Linked DNA regions of Neurospora crassa OR74A. The main gene of each other region encodes a partner of the protein of the gene in region 2 in a complex. Links are inferred from orthologs where the notes say so. Each region holds a gene or a part of one and is shown on either strand. Other genes may lie near its edges.

What was found.
Region 1: NCU03150 (region 2) and NCU08960 share a complex: the UniProt entries of both Saccharomyces cerevisiae proteins name them as parts of the large ribosomal subunit. The link is inferred for Neurospora crassa OR74A from reciprocal best matches to the Saccharomyces cerevisiae genes RPL24B and RPP1A.

The regions. Positions count from the first base shown.
Region 1 is NC_026505.1:5,823,395-5,827,135, forward strand, and holds NCU08960 (60S acidic ribosomal protein P1), read left to right. Parts: upstream 1-1,442; 5' UTR 1,443-1,568; coding exon 1,569-1,637; intron 1,638-1,879; coding exon 1,880-1,957; intron 1,958-2,062; coding exon 2,063-2,198; intron 2,199-2,289; coding exon 2,290-2,336; 3' UTR 2,337-3,149; downstream 3,150-3,741. Other genes in the region: NCU08959 (hypothetical protein), read right to left, coding at 59-272; NCU17037 (hypothetical protein), read right to left, coding at 745-1,191, 1,248-1,442. UniProt on the Saccharomyces cerevisiae protein: Component of the ribosome, a large ribonucleoprotein complex responsible for the synthesis of proteins in the cell.
Region 2 is NC_026501.1:4,728,879-4,732,589, forward strand, and holds NCU03150 (60S ribosomal protein L24), read left to right. Parts: upstream 1-1,267; 5' UTR 1,268-1,426; coding exon 1,427-1,477; intron 1,478-1,740; coding exon 1,741-1,884; intron 1,885-2,115; coding exon 2,116-2,391; 3' UTR 2,392-3,129; downstream 3,130-3,711. Other genes in the region: NCU03149 (tRNA-specific adenosine deaminase, variant), read right to left, coding at 1-86, 178-463; NCU03151 (peroxisomal membrane protein), read right to left, coding at 3,130-3,306, 3,375-3,577, 3,691-3,711.

The DNA.
Region 1 (3,741 bases), on a different chromosome or scaffold from region 2:
TGTTAGATTTTCCTTGTTCAATTGGCAGCTTGGGATGGGCTATGGAGGATGGGCGTACCTCTGGTCTCGGTCACCTTTTCCCCTTTCCTAATCTCGTTGAGTTCCTTGACCTGCTCGACAACCTGATCATAGTGTACAATCACATCCTGAGTGCGGATGTATTTTGTTCGGTCTCTCTTGAGGAGCAGCAGCTGATCGCGGATGGCTGAGAGCTTGTCGAGAATGGCTTGTTCCCGCTCATCTTTCGGCATGGGCATCGCCGGAGTCTCCATTGTCGCTATGTGTTTATTGTGTTGTGTTGTGTTGTTTTGTGTTGGGTGTTTATGGGTAAAAGTCGGTGAAGTCGGTTGCGATGTCTGAGAGTTGGCTCGTTTTCGTTACTTGGATGATGCCGTTCGAGGGTCGATGTTGGTTGAAGGAAAAGAAAAGGCGCGAAAGGATTGTTGAGAATGGGAAAGACGCAGCCAAGCAATTGGGAAAAGGATGGTGTTGCCGGAGCAAGGGAATGAATGTTGGAAACGGGCGATTCCTTGTCCAAGTCCAGCTTTCTTTGATCCAAGGAGTAGACTTGGTCTATGTAATGTAATGCGCCTCAACAATGGCAAAGAGAGCGGGATGCAAGTTCAGTTGTTTGTCCGGTTGATGGCGTTTCTCCAAGTACTATGGTATTTCCCCTTTCCGACGGAGGAGTTGACAAGAGTGATGAACGCTGCCTCCTGATTCGTGCGCTTTCCCTTGTTGATCTCACTCTTGTTGGTTTTTGCGGAATTGCTGGACTGAGTGCTGAAATAGGTGCAGATGGATGCTTCTCAGAGACAACCCGACGGGACGGGCTGGCGTGTCGGCAGGCACTCCGCTACGGCAGGAGAAGAGGCCTATGGCGCCCCGAATCCACAGCGGCGACGTCAGTGGATGCATGAATAGCGGCGGGGCGAAGGAGCTCCATGGTAGATAGTGTAGTGCCAAAGGAATGGTGGGGTTCTTGCCGACAAGGGTCGAGGCCTGGCGGAAAGCTTGTCGGACCAGGGCACTCGTCTTGGCAAGGCTGGGCGCCAAACTGCCCGGCCTGAATCGATGAGGTGCTTCCCCAAATTCCAGGCCATACACTATGGTCAACTGGTGGGGGAACATCAGTCGTCCCGATCCGGTACAAGTGCGAGGGACGGCAATGCCCTGGAGGCCAGCACGTGCCTGTTGGGCGGTAGCGGCAGTCAGGGCAGCACTGCCCTGCACCCAGTCCTACCTACAGTACCACCAACCCTCGGGTTCGGGTTGCGAACTGAACCGCTGGTTTGGACCGTGACATCGTGGGGCTGTTGCATTTCCATCTCCCAGCGTGCACAGACCAGGCAAAAAGCAGAACGGCAGCTCAAAAGAGTCTTGGCATCCAAGCCGCTGCCAGTCGCTTGCCAGCTGCCCGCCTTTGTAGGGTCCCAGGGCATTTTTTGAATTGCCCACAACTAATTAAATTTCACTTCCCGCGAATTTCTAGCTAGGACATCATCCCACGATCGAACAGCCCTCCCGAGACTCAGCATCTTTGCGCCTCGACAATCAACACCATCAAAATGTCTACTGCTGAGCTGGCTACCTCCTACGCGGCGCTCATCCTCGCCGATGACGGCGTTGAGATCACTGTGAGTTTGCGACCAATGCACATGATCTTTTGGTTGGCAAGATTTGGGTGGATTCGGGGTTTGGGGACAGTTTCAAGCGCGCCATGTACACACGGTTATTGCTCGACATGCGCTTTCAACGACCGGGACAAATGACGAAACATGGATTGAGGGGCAAACCGAGTGGAGGACAATGAGTGATATGAACAAGCACATTGGGAGGAACAATGTTGACTGACCAAACCCGTTTTCGCATGATATAGGCCGACAAGATCCAGACCATCATCAAGGCTGCCAAGATCGAGGATGTCGAGCCTATCTGGGCTTCCCTCTTCGCCAAGGTACGATGAAACCACCGACGACGACAATCCGAAAAAAAAAAGAAACGATATCTTGAGAGAAACGCGAACACGATAAACTGACTGGAGTCTCTTTTGCGAAAATAGGCTCTTGAGGGCAAGGATGTGAAGGACCTCCTTTCCAACGTCGGCTCCGGTGGTGCCGCCGCTGCCCCCGCTGCCGCTGGCGCCGCTGCCGCTGGTGGTGCCGCTGAGGAGGCCAAGGCTGAGGAGAAGGTTGAGGGTATGTGGAATCATCTACTCCCAAGCTCTTTCCCGGGGCTGTTGCTGCTGCTGCTGCTGCTAGTTACTAACCTGCGTTTTGCACTTTACAGAGAAGGAGGAGTCCGACGAGGATATGGGCTTCGGTCTCTTCGACTAAGCGAAGAAAGGGGGCTTTCTTCTGGTTTGGTCATGACCTCTCGTTTCCAATTTGTTCTTCCAAAGCTTGCATGGGTCTGCGACGGTTTCTCGCACATACGACTTCGGTTATGGGAGGCTTATGATATCAGGGGTTCGGTTCATCGGCGTAGCTTTACACGGACAATGAAGATGCGCTTTTGAGCAAAAGAAGTAAAAACACTTGGAAGCTTGCTCTCCACTTGTTGAAGCGACGGATTTCCACCGTAGCAGACATCCGACTCTACGACCGACAGCGCGCCCGGATCTTGATGGTCGATTGATACCCGGACCTGAGGTTCCTGCTCACCGTTTTGGAAGATGAGCTGGTACAAACTCAAGAAAAGGCAGATAAGACAAATTATCTGTTACTGATTCCAACTTGGGCTAGTGTTTACGACTCGTGTTTGTTTACTTTGTCATGATACGACGTCATCTTCACCTGCGTTTCTTGAAACCCAAACATCACCCCGAGTTGTCAACACAATCTCCGTTTGCGACGCGCTCCAGTCGCGTTCACTTTGATTTCGCACAGCCTCGTGTGTACCTTGCTGGCCATGACTCCATTCCCATGCCAATCTCCAGATTCGTATCCCACTGATCCCAGACGTAGATCTTATCGAAAGTCAACAGCGTGCCTGGCGATAAGATAAGGGGACCAGACGCAAACAGTACAGCCTTATGTCAACACGGATGAAGGCTCACAGTACAGGCGCCGAATCAAAGTCGTCGAATATGTCGTCTCTCGTCCCGCTTTATGACGATCCTGCGATATAACTTTGTGAACCCTAGCTGGAACGTCTTCTGCCGTGTCTACTGCAGATGTGGGTTCATATACTTGATAAGATAAGGGAAGTTCATAACGGAACCGAAGCTTCAAGCACCATCACTGAAGACACTCGACCACACTGCTGGCTTACCAAAAGTATGTTTCTTGTTAACTCTTCATAGATATCCATTCCACCTTAACAGAGCTGCTTATGCATAAAGATAGAGAAACTCGTCCGGTTTGCCTAAAAAACGACTGGGCTGAAATCATCAAGTTAACCGCCAAACCACAGTTAAGAGAACCGCCCATGATGATGCATCCTTAATTACCCGTCTCATCTCTACATAGTAGACCGTACACAACTCGATATGCTTCCCCCTCGTTGGAGGCATGTTGGTTCTTCATGCCTATTTTCCGCAACATCTGCATGCAGTCAGTAATACCCAAATGTCTTTTCACATTTCACTTCGCAGCCAGGACAGCAAACGGCAACGGCAACGGCAACGGCAACGGCAACGGCAATCAATACAGCTGCTATATCGCCTTTTGGCTGACTGACAACATGGGACAAATGAAGCCTACATGGATGTTGGTGTTTTGAAGGCCAAGTGACTGACTA
Region 2 (3,711 bases):
CAGGTCTCCTGGTGTTGGGGATGGGACTTCCCAGGGCGAGGCGTCGTCTTGGGCGGCCATGATTAGTTCCATGCTTGCGTCCCCGCCTGGTAGATTGGTGTGTTAGTAGTCATGGGCTTTACCGGGGTCGAGTCGTCTCTGGTGAAGGGGGGGTTTGGGCAGCGGGGACACACATACAAGGCGCTTCGGAGCAGTACATGTGTAAGCTCACATCTTCCCTCCAGGCGAACGGTTGTCCTTGCCATACTTCTGCTGTTCCTTGCTGTCCTTGGTTTTCATGTTGGGTTGTTATCCTTCGGTAGATGAACTCGGATTGCGATGCACCATCCCCCTGAAGAGCGAGGCGTTTACACTCTTCGAGGATGAACCGGTTGAAAGCTCGTATAGCAAGTATCTCGGCGTGCCAGTCATGAATGGCCACTCCGTTGGCTTGGGGCAGCTTGGATGCCGGAAGGCACTTCATACCTGTTCTATGACCAACAAACCATCCTTAGCTCCAGCAACAGACTTATCTTGCGTGATCATGAGGCACATTGGACACTTCAGTGGTCCCGGCGATCCATTGTACGTACTTACGCCAAAGCTACACATTTCAGTCCGTTTGGGCCTAGAGATTGTATCAGTAAAGAGTTTGGATTTCTTCCAGGCACATAACGAGCAGCACCTTTGGCTACAATGCCGGCCATAGGAACCCATTCGTGAAGACCATTGTCGCGGACACTGGGCTTCCGTTTCGCGGGGAGTTTGCTGAATTCTTCAAGCACAGCAGAGGCAATTGCGTCTGCATCAATCATTATAACTTTGCAAGTTAAGGTCGGTGTAATTTTGACGTTTTCGTATGTTTGCATGCGTTGGAAAGAACGACTTGACTTGGGACAACCTCCAAACTTTGATGATGAAGCACTTGTCGTTTGACAAGGGTTGGGGTTAGCCGTTGACAGCCAGTTCGTAACGTGGAAGTACGGAAAATCAATGGAGCAAACCGCATGCACCAGACGCAGAACGCAGAACATAAAAATCACACAGGTTTTCAGACGGAACTCCGAGGTGAGTGTACCTTGTTCATGCAAATTACAGTGGTGATGCTTCGCGACCAAAAAGTAAACCAGATACCCTTCGTTCGTTCCGCACTTGTTAATGGTAAATTGGGCTATAGATTTGCTTGAGGATGACGTCCTACAGCCCGGACCACCTGGCAGATAAGTGGCGGCGATTGTTCCTGCCCGCGTTGCCAGCCCGCTGCCAGCCCACTTGAGCCACCCCAACGCTGAAGTGGACCACATGGTCCGTGCGGCCAGCCTATCACAAGGCAGCCCTATCGCACAACCTCGCTGCGGAAAGAAATTGAGGAAAATCGACGCTGGAACATTGCACCTTCGAGGAAGCATCTCCCGACAACCGACAATCTCGACAGCAAACCGCCACAATGAGAACGTACGACGATACCTTCTCCGGCCAGAGGATCTACCCTGGAAAGGTACGGTTTTTTTGCCCGTCCAAAATGATTTGCGGCTCGAAAATGCTACCGGGATCTGAACCCGTGGGGAATTGGTCTTGGTCTTGGATTTGGGGAGGGAACGACTTTGCGAGAGCGAGGGAGAGATATTGACGGATCTCGTTCCCGCGACGTCAACGATATTCTGATTGAGGGGGATCATGAAGGACGAGCCAGAACAACAAGAGAAGGGAAATACAGCCACCGTGATAAAAGTGCTGACATGTTTTCTTTGACACCGTTAGGGTAAGCTGTACGTCCGTGGCGACAGCAAGATCTTCCGTTTCCAGAACGGCAAGTCCGAGTCGCTTTTCCTCCAGCGCAAGAACCCCCGCCGCATTGCCTGGACTGTCCTCTACCGCCGCCAGCACAAGAAGGGTATCTCTGAGGTACGCAAGAAACCACATATCCGCACTCGGGCCCAATCTTCTTCCCCCGTTGCGCACACCGTCACCAGCCCCCTATTCTACCGATTCTGCCGAAGCAATATCGAAGACTTCGAGACTTCGACGGAGAGGGATATCGCGAATACGGATACTTTGGACGCACGCGCAACTGGGTGAAGGGGATCGATGGGGGGGAAACCGTTGCGCGAAGCAGATGACTGACACCCATTACAGGAGGTCGCCAAGAAGCGCTCCCGCCGTACCGTCAAGGCCCAGCGTGCCATCGTCGGTGCCTCCCTCGAGGTGATCAAGGAGCGCCGCTCCATGCGCCCTGAGGCCCGCTCCGCCGCTCGTCTCGCCGCCATCAAGGAGTCCAAGGCCAAGAAGCAGGAGACTCAGGCCGCCAAGAAGGCTGAGAAGGCCAAGAACGCTGCCAACCCCAAGGCCCGTGTCACCTCCAAGCAGGGTGCCAAGGGTGCGCCCGTCAAGGTCGCTGCCAAGTCCCGTTAAATGCGGTCTTGTCGGTCGGGGGACACGATGATGTGAAGGGAGAATGGAATGTCTTTACGGTCCTGCGTGGCAAGCTGGAAGGGATACGCGGAGTCGGTCTGGTCGGTTCTCGGTTCTTTTTTTTTGCCTGCACTCAGCTGGAGGGTTTTCGTCTCGTTTAACGAAAACAATACAACAGCTTGGTTTCTGGAAGGGCCGGTTGCATGGATCCCTGCGTCTAACGGATATGACATCAAACGCTTTGCATGGGTAGCTTAACAGAATGCCGACTTATGCATTGGTCAAAGACGAACAAAATCCATATCCCACCTCCCTGTGATACTAGGGAGGCGAGAAAAAGTTTTGGGGCCGTTGGGACGAAGGAACAGGGACCTGGCAATCATAATATAACGCTGCGCTTCAGCGGGCAAAAGGCATATCACGCGGCTTCTATTCTCTATACCTCGTGATACTCTATCAAGCAAATACCCAGTCACAACAAGAGTATCCCGCGACTATCATCGCGTTCCCCTTGACATTTGTTTTGGTTCCTATTACTTCTCTACTTGGTGTGGTGGGTAAGTCTAATTAGGTAAAGCAGGTATTGAACACATATTGTCTGTGCAAAAAAGTGCCTGGCAGGGGGGTTTCTACTTTTGCTCCCAACCACAGTATATGAGTTTTGCCGGTGTAGATGATTACTGTTTGCCTTTGTTTTGTTTCTTTGCTTTGGCTTTTCCATGCCCCCTTTTTCTCTATTTAGAGCTTAGCCAGGACACCGTCGGCACCAGTGTTGGCGATGCTCTTAGGCACCTCATCCAACTCGGCGTAGGTAACCTTGCCGTGGTCGATGACAATAGCATAGCGCTTGGTGCGGTCACCCTGGGTCCAGCCGATGCTCTTGCTGAACTTGCAGTCGGCATCGGACATAAAGAGCTAAACATTCGTTGCGTGTCAGTTAGGTGTGGTGAGGGGGGGCAGGAGGGACATGAATTATTACTTACAATAGACTCATCTTTAACACCGTTGGCCTTGCCCCAAGCGGCCATCACCCACGCATCGTTGCTGGCAATGAAGATGATTTGGTCGACGCCCTTGGACTTGAACTCCTCGAGCTTGGCCAGATACGAGGGGACGTGCTGCTGCTGGCAGGTGGGGGTGAAGGCACCGGGGACGGCGACGAGGACGACCTTCTTGTTCGCGAACGCTACGTCGTGGGTAAGAGATTGCGTTAGTATATAGATAGGTGTGGAGAGAAAAAATACAAGTCAAAGATGATGTGAGGGTTCCTTGTGAGTGAGCCATGATATATTTACTTGCCTTTGCTGGCATCATACTGGA